2 linked regions of the Macaca fascicularis genome follow. The protein of the gene in region 2 purifies or fractionates together with the protein of the main gene of each other region. This does not show direct contact. Links are inferred from orthologs where the notes say so. Each region holds a gene or a part of one and is shown on either strand. Other genes may lie near its edges.

Evidence for each region. Proteins that work in one complex are often made in the same cells at the same time.
Region 1: the proteins of PPP1R18 (region 2) and PPP1CA purify together in Homo sapiens (affinity purification with mass spectrometry; 5 studies listed by BioGRID and IntAct, counting the BioPlex papers as one, with this or other methods). This does not show direct contact. The link is inferred for Macaca fascicularis from reciprocal best matches to the Homo sapiens genes PPP1R18 and PPP1CA.

What each region holds. Positions count from the first base shown.
Region 1 is NC_088388.1:6,973,909-6,979,880, reverse strand, and holds PPP1CA (serine/threonine-protein phosphatase PP1-alpha catalytic subunit), read right to left. Parts: upstream 3,982-5,972; 5' UTR 3,906-3,981; coding exon 3,851-3,905; intron 3,325-3,850; coding exon 3,193-3,324; intron 3,044-3,192; coding exon 2,813-3,043; intron 1,785-2,812; coding exon 1,680-1,784; intron 1,337-1,679; coding exon 1,113-1,336; intron 1,030-1,112; coding exon 895-1,029; intron 819-894; coding exon 708-818; 3' UTR 352-707; downstream 1-351. UniProt on the Homo sapiens protein: Protein phosphatase that associates with over 200 regulatory proteins to form highly specific holoenzymes which dephosphorylate hundreds of biological targets.
Region 2 is NC_088378.1:141,974,101-141,979,481, reverse strand, and holds part of PPP1R18 (phostensin), read right to left. Parts: intron 2,375-5,381; coding exon 2,164-2,374; intron 255-2,163; coding exon 235-254; 3' UTR 1-234.

The DNA.
Region 1 (5,972 bases), on a different chromosome or scaffold from region 2:
TCAGGCTATACTCCAGCTGGCCAAGGCTGGAAACCTGTCTCCCTCAGGCTCACCTTCCTAAGGAAAACATCACAGCAGGTGCTGCCGGCCCCTGATGATCCAGCTTCTCTGCCAATCATGACCTGACCTGTTCCTTCCTGAAGTCCTGGGCATGCATCTGGGACGCCCGTGGAGCTGACAGTTTTTCTTGCTTTCCTGATACTCTTTGGTGCCGACCTGGAATTCTAAGAGCCTCGGACCTGCGTGTGTGGCTAGGGTTGCCCTTGCTGGGGCCTGGTGCCCAGCCTCCCAAGTAGCTCTGCGCAGAGGAGCTGCCAGGCAGCGTCTTAGACGCGAGACGGAGGCCATGGCGAGAATCCAGCTTTGACCTTTATTCAAGAGACCAGATGGGTTGCCCCAGGATCCGGCTGCCAGCCCTGAGGCCAAGCACGGCTGGAGACCCACGACCTGGTCTGCCGTTGCCCTGAGCTGCAGCCTCAGCCCCAGGATCCTGCTCACAGCCACCGCTGATGCAGGCAGGAAGCAGCCCTGGGGGATTGGACGCTGCTATTGATTCATTAAAAAAAAAAAAAAAGAAAAATACACCAAGGCTCCATGTTCCCCGTGACAGGTGGGCCTGAGGGGCCGGGGTGACCCCCCCCCAGCATGGCAGCATGATTTCTGTACAATCCATCCATCATCTGGGGCACAGGCGCGGGGTGCAGGGGCTATTTCTTGGCTTTGGCGGAATTGCGGGGTGGGGTGATGGGCCGGCCCCCAGGGTTCAGGCCACTGAACTGCCCGTACTTCCCCTTGTTCTTGTCGGCGGGCTTGAGGATCTAAAAGAGACAGGGTTGGTCAGGCTCATGGGGCTGAGCCACGGGGCCTAGTAGCTCCTTTCTTCCCCACACTCACCTGGAAGGAGCACATGAGGGTCTCGTCCACGCTCATCATGGCGCCAGCATTGTCAAACTCGCCACAGTAGTTGGGAGCTGAGAAAAGTGTCACCAGCTGCCGCTTGGCAAAGAACTCATAGCCATCTTCTACCACCTGGGTGAGGATCGGAGCAGTCAGTCCCAAGTGCAGGCAAGGCCCTCCCCTTCCCCCACCACAGACGGGAGCCACCAGCCCACCTGGTGTGCTCGGCAGATGAGGTCCAAGTCGTGCTTGTGGAGGAACTTGGCCACCACCTCGGCTCCAAAAGTAAAAGAGACGCCACGGTCGTTCTCGCCCCAGCCCTGCACGTCCTTGTCAGGGTCAGACCAGAGCAGGTCACACAGCAGGCCCTGGTCAGGCACGTCTGTGGGCCGCATGATCCGCCGAATCTGCTCCATGGACTGCAGGTCCGGGGAGAGGCCTGGAGGGCCAGAAGGAAGGTCACTTCCTCAAACAAGGACATCCTTCCTCCAGGAAGCCTTGGCCAGTGAGCCTCACTTTTCCACCACCCTCCTGGTCCCTCCACTGGTCTCCTGGGTGCCCAGGCAGGCAGAAGCCATCCCCTTCCCCTCAGCTTTTTCAAGTTCCCAAACAGGCACAAAGGCGCCCCTGGCCTCCGGAGCACAGAGCTCCTGGGAGAAAGGAGACAAGCCCGCCCCATGTAGAATGCACATCAAGGAAGTGAGTGCAGCCCAGCACAGGGGGGTATGGGAGACACTTCCTGAAAGGAGTGACTTCCCAGATGACAACTAAGGAGAGCTCACCTCCGTGGCAGCAAAAGATCTTTTCGTCCACTATGGCCGCAATGGGCAGGCAGTTGAAGCAGTCAGTGAACGTTTTCCACAGTTTGATGTTGTAGCGTCTCTTGCCTGCCCAGAGGGAGGTAGCTGTGAGGGGTCTGCCTGCTCCACCCTTAGCCGGGGTCTCTGGGCTATTCAGCCGCAGATGGGAGAGAGTCAGGCACCAATGCAAACCACCCCCACCCCTGCCGCCTGTCAGCCTTCCAGGAGTAATTCTAGTTACTTTTTATTTTAATTTGTAATTTAAACAAACAGGATCTGGGCAGGGCATGGTGGCTCACACCTGTAATCCCAGCACTTTGGGAGGCTGAAGCAGGCAGATCACCTGAGGTCAGAAGTTCAAGACCAGCCTGACCAACATGGAGAAACCCTGTCTCTACTAAAATACAAAAAAATTAGCCAGGCGTGGTGTCGCATGCCTGTAATCCCAGCTACTCGGGAGGCTGAGGCAGGAGAATCGCTTGAACCCGGGAGATGGAGGTTGTGGTGAACTGAGATCACACCACTGCACTCCAGCCTGGGCAACAAGAGCGAAACTCCGTCTCAAAAAAGTAAAGAAACAGGGTCTTGTTCAGTCACCCAGGCTGGAGTGCATTGGCAAGATCATAGCTCACTGTAACTTGGAGCTTCTGAGTCCAAGTGATCTTCCCGCCTCAGCCTCCCACCAGAAGTAATTCTAAAGCACCCGAGTCCACTGGAAACTGAGTTCCAATCTGGACCAGCCTCAGGGTTGGCACTCCTTGCACGCCCCGGCCCACGAGCCGGGCCAAGTACAGGTCTGGTTTATCTCAGCTTCTGGACAGCAGAGCTCATCTGCAAACATCCTAAATGCTTAGTAGCAAATGTAGAGGGAACGTCACCAGGCAGGGCCCTGGGGGAAAGCACTAGAATACGGACAGTCCTTCAGTCAGCAACCATTCCCCAGACCCCATGCCAGGAGGGGCAGGGCAGGCACAAGAACGGACCTGGGCCCTGCCTTCGTGGAGTGCACAGTCTTAGCAAGTGTCTGTCAGATATCAGGCCAATGTGAAGGTCCCACTGAATGACAAGGAGTGTGGTTCAGGACCCGGGCAGCCCCAGACGCTCAGACCACTCACACTCATCGTAGAAACCGTAGATGCGGTTGATGCTGGCGCACTCGTGGTTCCCACGGAGCAGGAAGAAGTTCTCGGGGTACTTGATCTTATAGGCCAGCAGCAGGCAGATGGTCTCCAAGGACTGCTTGCCCCTGTCCACATAGTCCCCCAGAAAGAGGTAGTTGCTCTCCGGAGGGAAACCGCCATACTCAAATAGTCGCAGAAGGTCATAGTACTGGCCGTGTATATCACCTGTGACCCAGGGAATCGGGTAAGCTAGATGCAGGGTCTAGACCTGAACCCAGGACCAGGACTGGGCTCAAGGGAGGAGGACTCCAGGAACTCTGTGGGGGCCAGTGCCACTTTCAGGAAAGCAAGGGGACCTGGGTCGGGGGGCTCACCGCAGATCTTGAGGGGTGCCTCCAGCTCCAGAAGAATGGGCTGGCTCAGGAAAATCTCCCGGGATTTCAGGCACAGGCCGCGGATCTCGTTCTCTGTCAGCTGTACATTCTTGCCAGGCCGCGAGCCCTGCACTGGGGGCGCAATGGGGTGTCAAGACCCGGGACCCTGACAGGAGGAGGGTGGGCGACACGGGTGGCCCCATGGATACCTCCGGGGGCGCCTAGGCCTCCTCGGCTGCTCCTTGCCCGCAGGCAGCTGTTGCTGCTGAGCCTCCCGGGACCTCGGCCTCAAGCCTCCCAAGGGAAGCCCCCAACTACCCTCAGCGCCTCGGGAGGCGACTGTCGTGCGCAGGGGGCTGCCACCCAAACACCTCACAGCGCAGGACCCCTTCCTGGACCGGGCTTCCCGGGTTTCTCCCTCGCCTCAAGAACCCAGGCAACCCGTGCGCCCCCGGCCCGGGAGAGGGGGCTGCTCCGCGCGTCGGAGCGGGCCCAGGACCTCTCAGGCGCGTCCGCGGGGGGGCGGCTGCGGCCACCGAACCTCGCGGCCCGTCCCCGCCCAGTCTAAGCTGGCCCCGGGGGCCCGCCCGCGCGCCACTTCCGGGCCCGGCAGGGGGCCCGGGAGCGGCGGACGCAGGCCTCCCCCGCCGCGACCAACCTTCTAGCAGGCGCCCGATGATCGAGTCAAGGTTGAGCTTCTCGCTATCGGACATGGCGGCGCCGCCGCTCCAGCCCAGCAGCTCCGGGCCCGCTCCTGCCTCCCGCCCTCCGGCAGCCTCCTTCCGGCCTGGCTCTCCTTCCGCCCGCCCCAGTCCGCCCCCGGCCCGCGGCCCCGCCTCCGGGCCTCCCGGGCCCGCCCCGCCCGGTCCCCCGCGCTCTAGCGCCCCCGCTGGACGTGAAGCGCCGCGGCCCGGGGGGCGGGGCCTTGGCGGCGGGCTGGGGGCGGGGTCTGTCGGGGGCGCGTCCAACTGGTTACGCCCCAGAGGAGGCGCCCAGCCCGGTTCAGAGGATGTGGGGCCGGAAGAACTGTGGAAGTTGTTTTTCTCTTTCAAAAGCAGAACAGCCGTTCCCACCCCTGCCCTGGGTGGAGGGTGTTGTGAACATATTAATAACCGGCTGCTAGGCACTGAGGGTTAACTGCTCGAAGTGCAGGAAAGGAAACTGAGGCTCAAGAGATATGAACAGACTGGTGCAAGACCTGGACCTCGCATTCACGTACGACCCCCTTTTTCGTGGGTCTCCGTGGCCCCCAGGCGGCTGACCACACTCAAAGACAGCTACGGCTGAACTTCCAGCGCACTTTGGTCCTTGGGGCATGATAAATTAATATTTTCTTACAAGTCCCATAATTAGCTTTTATTTATTTATTTTTTTTGAGACAGAGTTTTGCTTTGTCGCCTAAGCTGGAGTGCAGTGGCGCGACTTTGGCTCACTGCAACATTCGCTTCCCAGGTTCAAGGGGTTCTCCTGCCTCAGCCTCTGGAGTAGCTGGGATTGCAGGCGCGCGCCACTGCGCCTGGTTTTTGTGTGTTTAGCAGAGGTGGGGTTTCGCCATATTGGCCCGGCTGGTCTTGAACTCCTAACCTCAAGTGATCCACTGGCCTCGACCTCCCAAAGTCCTGGGGGGGTTACAGGCGTGAGCCAACAAGCCTGGCCCCATAATTAGCTTTTGAGTAGCACAGTAATATTGCAGGGTGTGCACGTAAAAAGAATTACTATATGAGCAGACATGGCTGGGTGCAGTGGCTCACGCCTGTAATTCCAGCGCTTTGGGAGGCTGAGGTGGGAGGATCGTTTGAGGTCAGGAGTTCAAGACCAGCCTGGCCAACATGGTGAAACCCCATCTCTCTAAAAATACAAAAAGTTAGCTGGGCATGATGGCAGCCGCCTGTAATCTCAGCTATTGGGGAGGCTGAGGCAGGAGAATCACTTGAACCTGGGAGGCGGAGGTTGCAGTGGGCCAAGGCCCATTGCACCCCCTAGCCGAGGTGACAGTGTGAGACTCTGTCTCAAAGGAGCAGACGATAAATTAACCTTAATTCTTGTTGGAACCCTGAGTTGGGTGCTTTACATGCCAGTAACCTCAGAACTGGAGGTGGGCCTGCTGTGGCGGCTTAGGCCTGTAATTCCAGCACTTTGGGAGGCTGAGGTGGGATGGTCTCTTGCGTCCAGCCTGGGCAACACGGCGAAACCTCATCTCAACAAAAAAATACAAAAATTAGCTGGGCATGGTGGTGCACGCCTGCAGTCCCAGCTACTAGGGAGGCTGAGGCAGGAGGATCTCTTGAGACCAGGAGGTGGGGGTTGCAGTGAGCCCAGATCCTGCCATTACACTCCAGCCTGGGTGACAGAGCATGACCCTCAAGAAACAAACACAAAGGCCAGGCGCGGTGGTTCATGCCTGTAATCCCAGCACTTTGGGAGGCAGAGGTGGGTAGATCACCTGAGGTCAGGAGTTTGAGACCAGCCTGGCCAATGTGGCAAAACCCTGTCTCTACTAAAAATACAAAAATTAGCCGGGCATGGTAGTGCATGTCTGTAGTTCCAGCTACTTGGAAGACTGAGGCAGGAGAATCACTTGAATCTGGGAGGTGGAGGTTGCAGTGAGCTGAGACCGTGCCACTGCACTCTAGCCTGGGCAACAGAGCAAGACTCTGTCTCAAAAGAAACAAACAAAAGAATTGGAGGTGGCCTGGCCTCTGTGTCTAAGAGGCCTGGGCCCTCCACACCCAGCACAGGAACTCAAGCCTTCAGTCACTGGGGCCATGGGGAGGGTGGGA
Region 2 (5,381 bases):
CACCCAGGATGTACCAGCACGTTTAACCCCACCCACACCAGGGACTTTGGATTAGGGTAGAAATTGGGCAATTGGCTCTGCCCCCAGAAACAGGGTGGGGAAAGCAAGTTACAAGATGTTGGTTGTTGCCCTTCCCTGCCAGGCTCATTATCAGGGTCTGCTGCCCTGAATCTTCTGGGATCCAGGATCTTCAGTTATAAGAAGGAAGGAGGTATATCCCTATGTTGAAGATGGTCACCGCCGGCAGGACTCATCTGTGGGAGAGGGGGCAATAATGACAGAGAATGAGTGAGAGCCTCTGCCTTCTGCCCACCCTTCCCCCACACACAAATTGAAGGGCAGTTGGCATGCAGGAAGTCCTATAATATCTTCCACATCTAAAGCACGTTACCATCAGTAACCACATCCATCACTCATTTAGCTCGGATTCTGTGCCAAGCATCCTCATAACTGTTTAACGTCACCATAACTCCAGGAGAGATTAAGTAATTTGATATCCAGCTGTGGCTCTTGGTGCTTCACAAAAACTACTTAATCTTGGCCTGGAGCCCCTGTAATCTGAGCAATTTAGGAGGCTGAGGCGGGAGGATCACTTGAAGTCAGGAGTTCAAGACCAGCCTGGCCAACATGGGGGAACCCTGTCTCTACTAAAAATATAAAAACTAGCCAGGTGTGATGGTACACATCTGTAATCCCAGCTACTTGAGAGACTGAGGCATGAGAATCGCTTGAACTTGGGAGGCAGAGGTTGCAGTGAGCCAAGATTGTGCCACTGCACTCCAGTCTGGGCGACAGAGGGAGCTATCTCAAAATAAATAAATAAATTAATTAATTAAATAAAATAAATTACTTAATCTTTTCTACAACTCTAGGAGGTAGTTTTTGGTTTCTGTTTTTTTGAGACGGAATTTCACTCTGTAGCCCAGGCTGGAGTGCAGTGGCATCATTTCGGCTCACTGCAACCTCTGCTTCCCAGCTTCAAGTGATTCTCCTGCCTCAGACTCCCGAGTAGCAGGGATTGCAGGTGTCCACCTCCATGCCTAGCTAATTTTTGTATTTTTAGTAGAGATGGGTTTTCACTATGTTGGCCAGGCCGGTCTTGAACTTCTGACCTTGAGTGATCCACCTGCCTCAGCCTCCCAAAGTGCTGGAATTACAGGCGTGAGCCACCTTGTCTGGCCTGTTTGTTTCTTTCGAGACAGGGTCTTCCTCTATTGCCCAGGCTGGAGTGCAGTGGGTGGTACAATATCGGCTCACTGCAGCCTCCAACTTCTGAGGTCAAACGATCCTCCCACCTCAGCCTCCCAAGTAGCTGGAACCACAGCTGTGCACTGCCACACCTGGCTAATTCTTTTATTTTTATTTATTTATTTTTTTTAGAGATGGAGTCTCGCTCTGTTGTCCAGGCTGGAGTGCAGTGGGGTGATCTCGGCTCACTGCAAGCTCCGCCTCCCAGGTTCACACCATTCTCCTGCCTCAGCCTCCCAAGTAGCTGGGACTACAGGTGCCCACCACCACGCCCGGCTAATTTTTTTTTATTTTTAGTAGAGATGGAGTTTCACCGTGTTAGCCAGGATGGTCTCAGTCTCCTGACTTCATGATCCGCCCGCCTCGGCCTCTCAAAGTGCTGGGATTACAGGCGTGAGCCACCGTGCCTGGCCCACACCGGGATAATTTTTGTATTTTTTTGTAGAGACAGGATTTTGCCATGTTGCCCAGGGTGGTCTTGAACTCCTGGGCTCAAGCGATCCACCCGTCTTGGCTTCCCGAAGTGCTGGGATTACAGGCATGAGCCACAGGAGGTAGTTATTATTAACTTCATTTCATAAATAATAAACTAAAGCCAGATATCGGATGGTTTCCTTGAGATCACACAATTAAGAGACAAGCTGCAATTCCAACTCAGGCCTGTAGACCCACCCTGTGGTTTTGACCAGATTACGGTACTCAGGAAGAGTTCTCGTTTTGAAACTTGAAGACTCAATGTGTACTTCACTGCCCGGGACCTCAGTTTGCCCATCTATTGAAGGAGCAGGTTGGACCAGAGGACCACCAAGCCCCTTCCAAGCGCCTACATGCAATCCTCCCTCCTCTTCTCTCCTGGACCGCAGCGCCAGCTCTGACAGCAGGGGGCGCTCTCGAGCCGGCGGAGCGTCCGCTTACCCACAATCAGGGCCTTGGTGCGCAGCCCGCCCTGGAGCTCTGGCTGCAGCAGCAGCAGCTCTTCCTCATCCTCTTCGTCGTCGGGTTGGGCTGCTGGGGGGTTGGGGGCACTGGGGACCTCAGGCTCCGGGCCCAGCTCCTCCAGTACCGAACTCTCGGAGGGGTATTGGTACGTGGTCTCCAGGGCTGTCTCGCTGAAGGAGATCTTAAGCTGAAGGAGGGAGAAAAAGGGGGCAGGAGGCAAGGTCAGCAGGGGTGAGGCCCGTGGGGGTTGAGGGGGAGAAAGCGGGGGGCGGGGGGGAGTCTGCAAGGGAGCAGGTGGGGCGGGGGAAAGGTGGGGGTGGGGGTTGGACTTAGGCGCCCCCCTCACTCTCTCCCATCCACTTTGGGATCCAGTTTTCCTTTACACACTGGCTTTCCAATCCTAGAGTTTCCCTCTTCGATCATATCATTTCAAAACATCAGACTTTGCCCTGTATGTTGGCAGGGGCTTGGGAGGCAGAAGTGAATAACATAAGACCAAGGTCCCTGCTCTTTCGAGTGTGGGAGGCAGAGGGGTAAAAAGAAATTAAAATACGTGGCGATTAGTCTTGTGATCAGAACCGAGTCTTTGGGCACCTTGGAGGCAATAGAGTAAACTTCCCAGAGGAGCCCAGCAGACTGGCCAGTGGGGAAAGAGTAAACTTCCCAGAGGAGCCCAGCAGACTGGCCAGTGGGGAAAGAACTGGCTGGGGAGCCAGTCTCAACCAAAACCATGGTTTTCATACCCACAGCCCCTTGCTGTCCTATGCGAAACCCAGGAGCCTGGGCACCTGTTCCCTCCCACTCCCCTCATTCCTCTCCTATCCATAGCAAAGGGGGTCTAGGGCCTGGGAAGAGATGGGAGATGAATAGAAAGGCCCAGAGGAACCAAGAGACTCCCACAACACACAGGGGAAAGATTAGCCGCTGACACCTTGAAAGGTTGGGGGAGATGACAAGGGCAGAAAGGAAAGTCCACACAAACCTGGGGTGGGGTTTGAGCCCACAGTGTGCTCAAAGGGACAGGCGCAGAGACAAAATACCAGACAGGGCACAGAAAAATCACACTGTGCCAAAAGCAGGTGAGTCCCAGCTGTTCTCACTGCCTTTCTACCCTTCCCCTTTGCCCTCTTAAGAAGCTCAGGGGGAAGGGGCAGGGTGGGATTAAGTCTAGGAGCCAAAGGGATTAGGCAGACAGCAGGAGGATTCCATGTGGACTACTTGGAAAGGTCCAAATGATCTACTCAGGCCTTCCCTGGCATCTGTTTGGGAGGACTTGGGGCCAGTCGAACATCCCTGAGTCCCCTAATGGACTGAGGTATGAAAAGGGAGAAGCCAGAAGGGTGGCTGGGCAGGTGGTTGCTAAGAGCTGCATCAGATATGACACCAGTCGGGCACGGTGGCTCACGCCTGTAATCCCAGCACTTTGGGAGGCTGAGGCAGGATTATTTCTCGAGCCCAGGAGTTGGAGACAAGCCTGTGCAATAGAGTGACACTGTCTCTAAAAAAGAAAAAAAAAAATCAGATATGACACCTGGGTCCCCATGGGAAAATGGAACTCGGGAACTGTGTATGTTACTCCTTGTTGGCTCCAAACCCCACATTGTCTCCCCATCTCACTTGGAGCAAAAAGTCTACTCGAGGCTGGGCGCGGTGGTTCATGCCTATAATCCCAGCATTTTGGGAGGCCGAGGCGGGCGGATCACAAGGTCAAGAGATTGAGACCATCCTGGTCAACATGGTGAAACCCGTCTCTACTAAAAATACAAAAAAATTAGCTGGGCATGGTGGCGTACGCCTGTAGTCCCAGCTACTCGGGAGGACAAGGCAGGAGAATCACTTGAACCCGGGAGGCGGAGGTTGCAGTGAGCCGAGATCACGCCAGTGCACTACAGCTTGGGCAACAGAGTGAGACTCCACCTCAAAAAAAAAAGTCTACTTGATTGCCCCAAAGGTGCCCAGAGCCTGACCAAAGCCTACAGGGTGCTCCCAATGTGCCACCCTCCCCTTGCCTCTCTGGCCTCTTCCTTCACTCCAGCCACACTGGCGTTGGTCCCTCCACGCACTCCCACCTCAGGACCAGAAAAGTACTAGCTATTCCTTCTGCCTAGAACACTCCCCTGAAATATCCCCATGGCTCTGACCCTCCTGATCACCCCATTTTGAAGTCTCCATATTCACTCCCCCTGCTTCCTGACCCTCTAAGTTCCACTGTTCTTTTTTTTTTTTTTCATAGTCACTCACCACCTTCTAACTTCCTAGATAATTTACTAATTTATTATACTCGTGTCTGCTGTTGAAAGAAGCTTGGGGCCGGGTGAAGTGGCTCACACCTGTAATCCCAGCACTTTGGGAGGCCAAGACAGGGGGATCACTTGAGGTCAGGAGTTTGAGACCAGCCTGGCCAACATGGTGAAACCCCGTCTCTACTAAAAATACTAAAATTAGCTGGGCTTGGTGGTGTGCGCCTGTAGTTCCAGATATTCAGGAGGCTGAGGATGGAGAATCACTTGAAGCCAGAAGGTGGAGGTTGTAGTGGGCCGAAATCTCACCATTGAACTCCAGGCTGGGAGACAGCAAGACTGTCTCAGAAAAAAAAAAAAAAAAAAAAGAAAAGAAAAAAGGAGCTTGAAAGTTGCTACAGTGCAAGAGTTTAGAGTTTGTTCAAACCTCAGATGAGGTGCCATCAGAGGACCAATGCTGGGGAAACAATCTGGGGGTGGTCCAGCCTATACATATTTGACCCCCCAGTTCATGTCTGTGGAACTGCTGGTACAATCTAGTTATAGCAGCCAGACTGCTTATATCCCAAGTTCTCAGAAGCGACCACTTAGTTTCTGTTACTGACAGATTTACCCACATTTCTGGGAACCCATTTTTGTTTTCTTCTCATATCCTCTTTTGGAATAATAACCTCTGTACTTTATTATCTATTCTGAAAAAGGACTTATTTTATTTGTTCTCGGTCTATGTTTGTATCTCCCCCCTACCCTGCCTCTCTCCTCACCCCCCACCAGCTTCTGACTGGACTTCTCAGGAATGCACAGCCTGCATGGGAGTGGGGGGGCGGGTAGAGAGAGGGTGACTCACTTGCTCCTCTCCCATCAGCTATATAAGGTCACAATAGGGCTGGTCTCTCAGCCCAGGAGGCCTCTGGGGTAGGGCACCAGCCACAGCCATCCCCTGGGCTCCAGTGG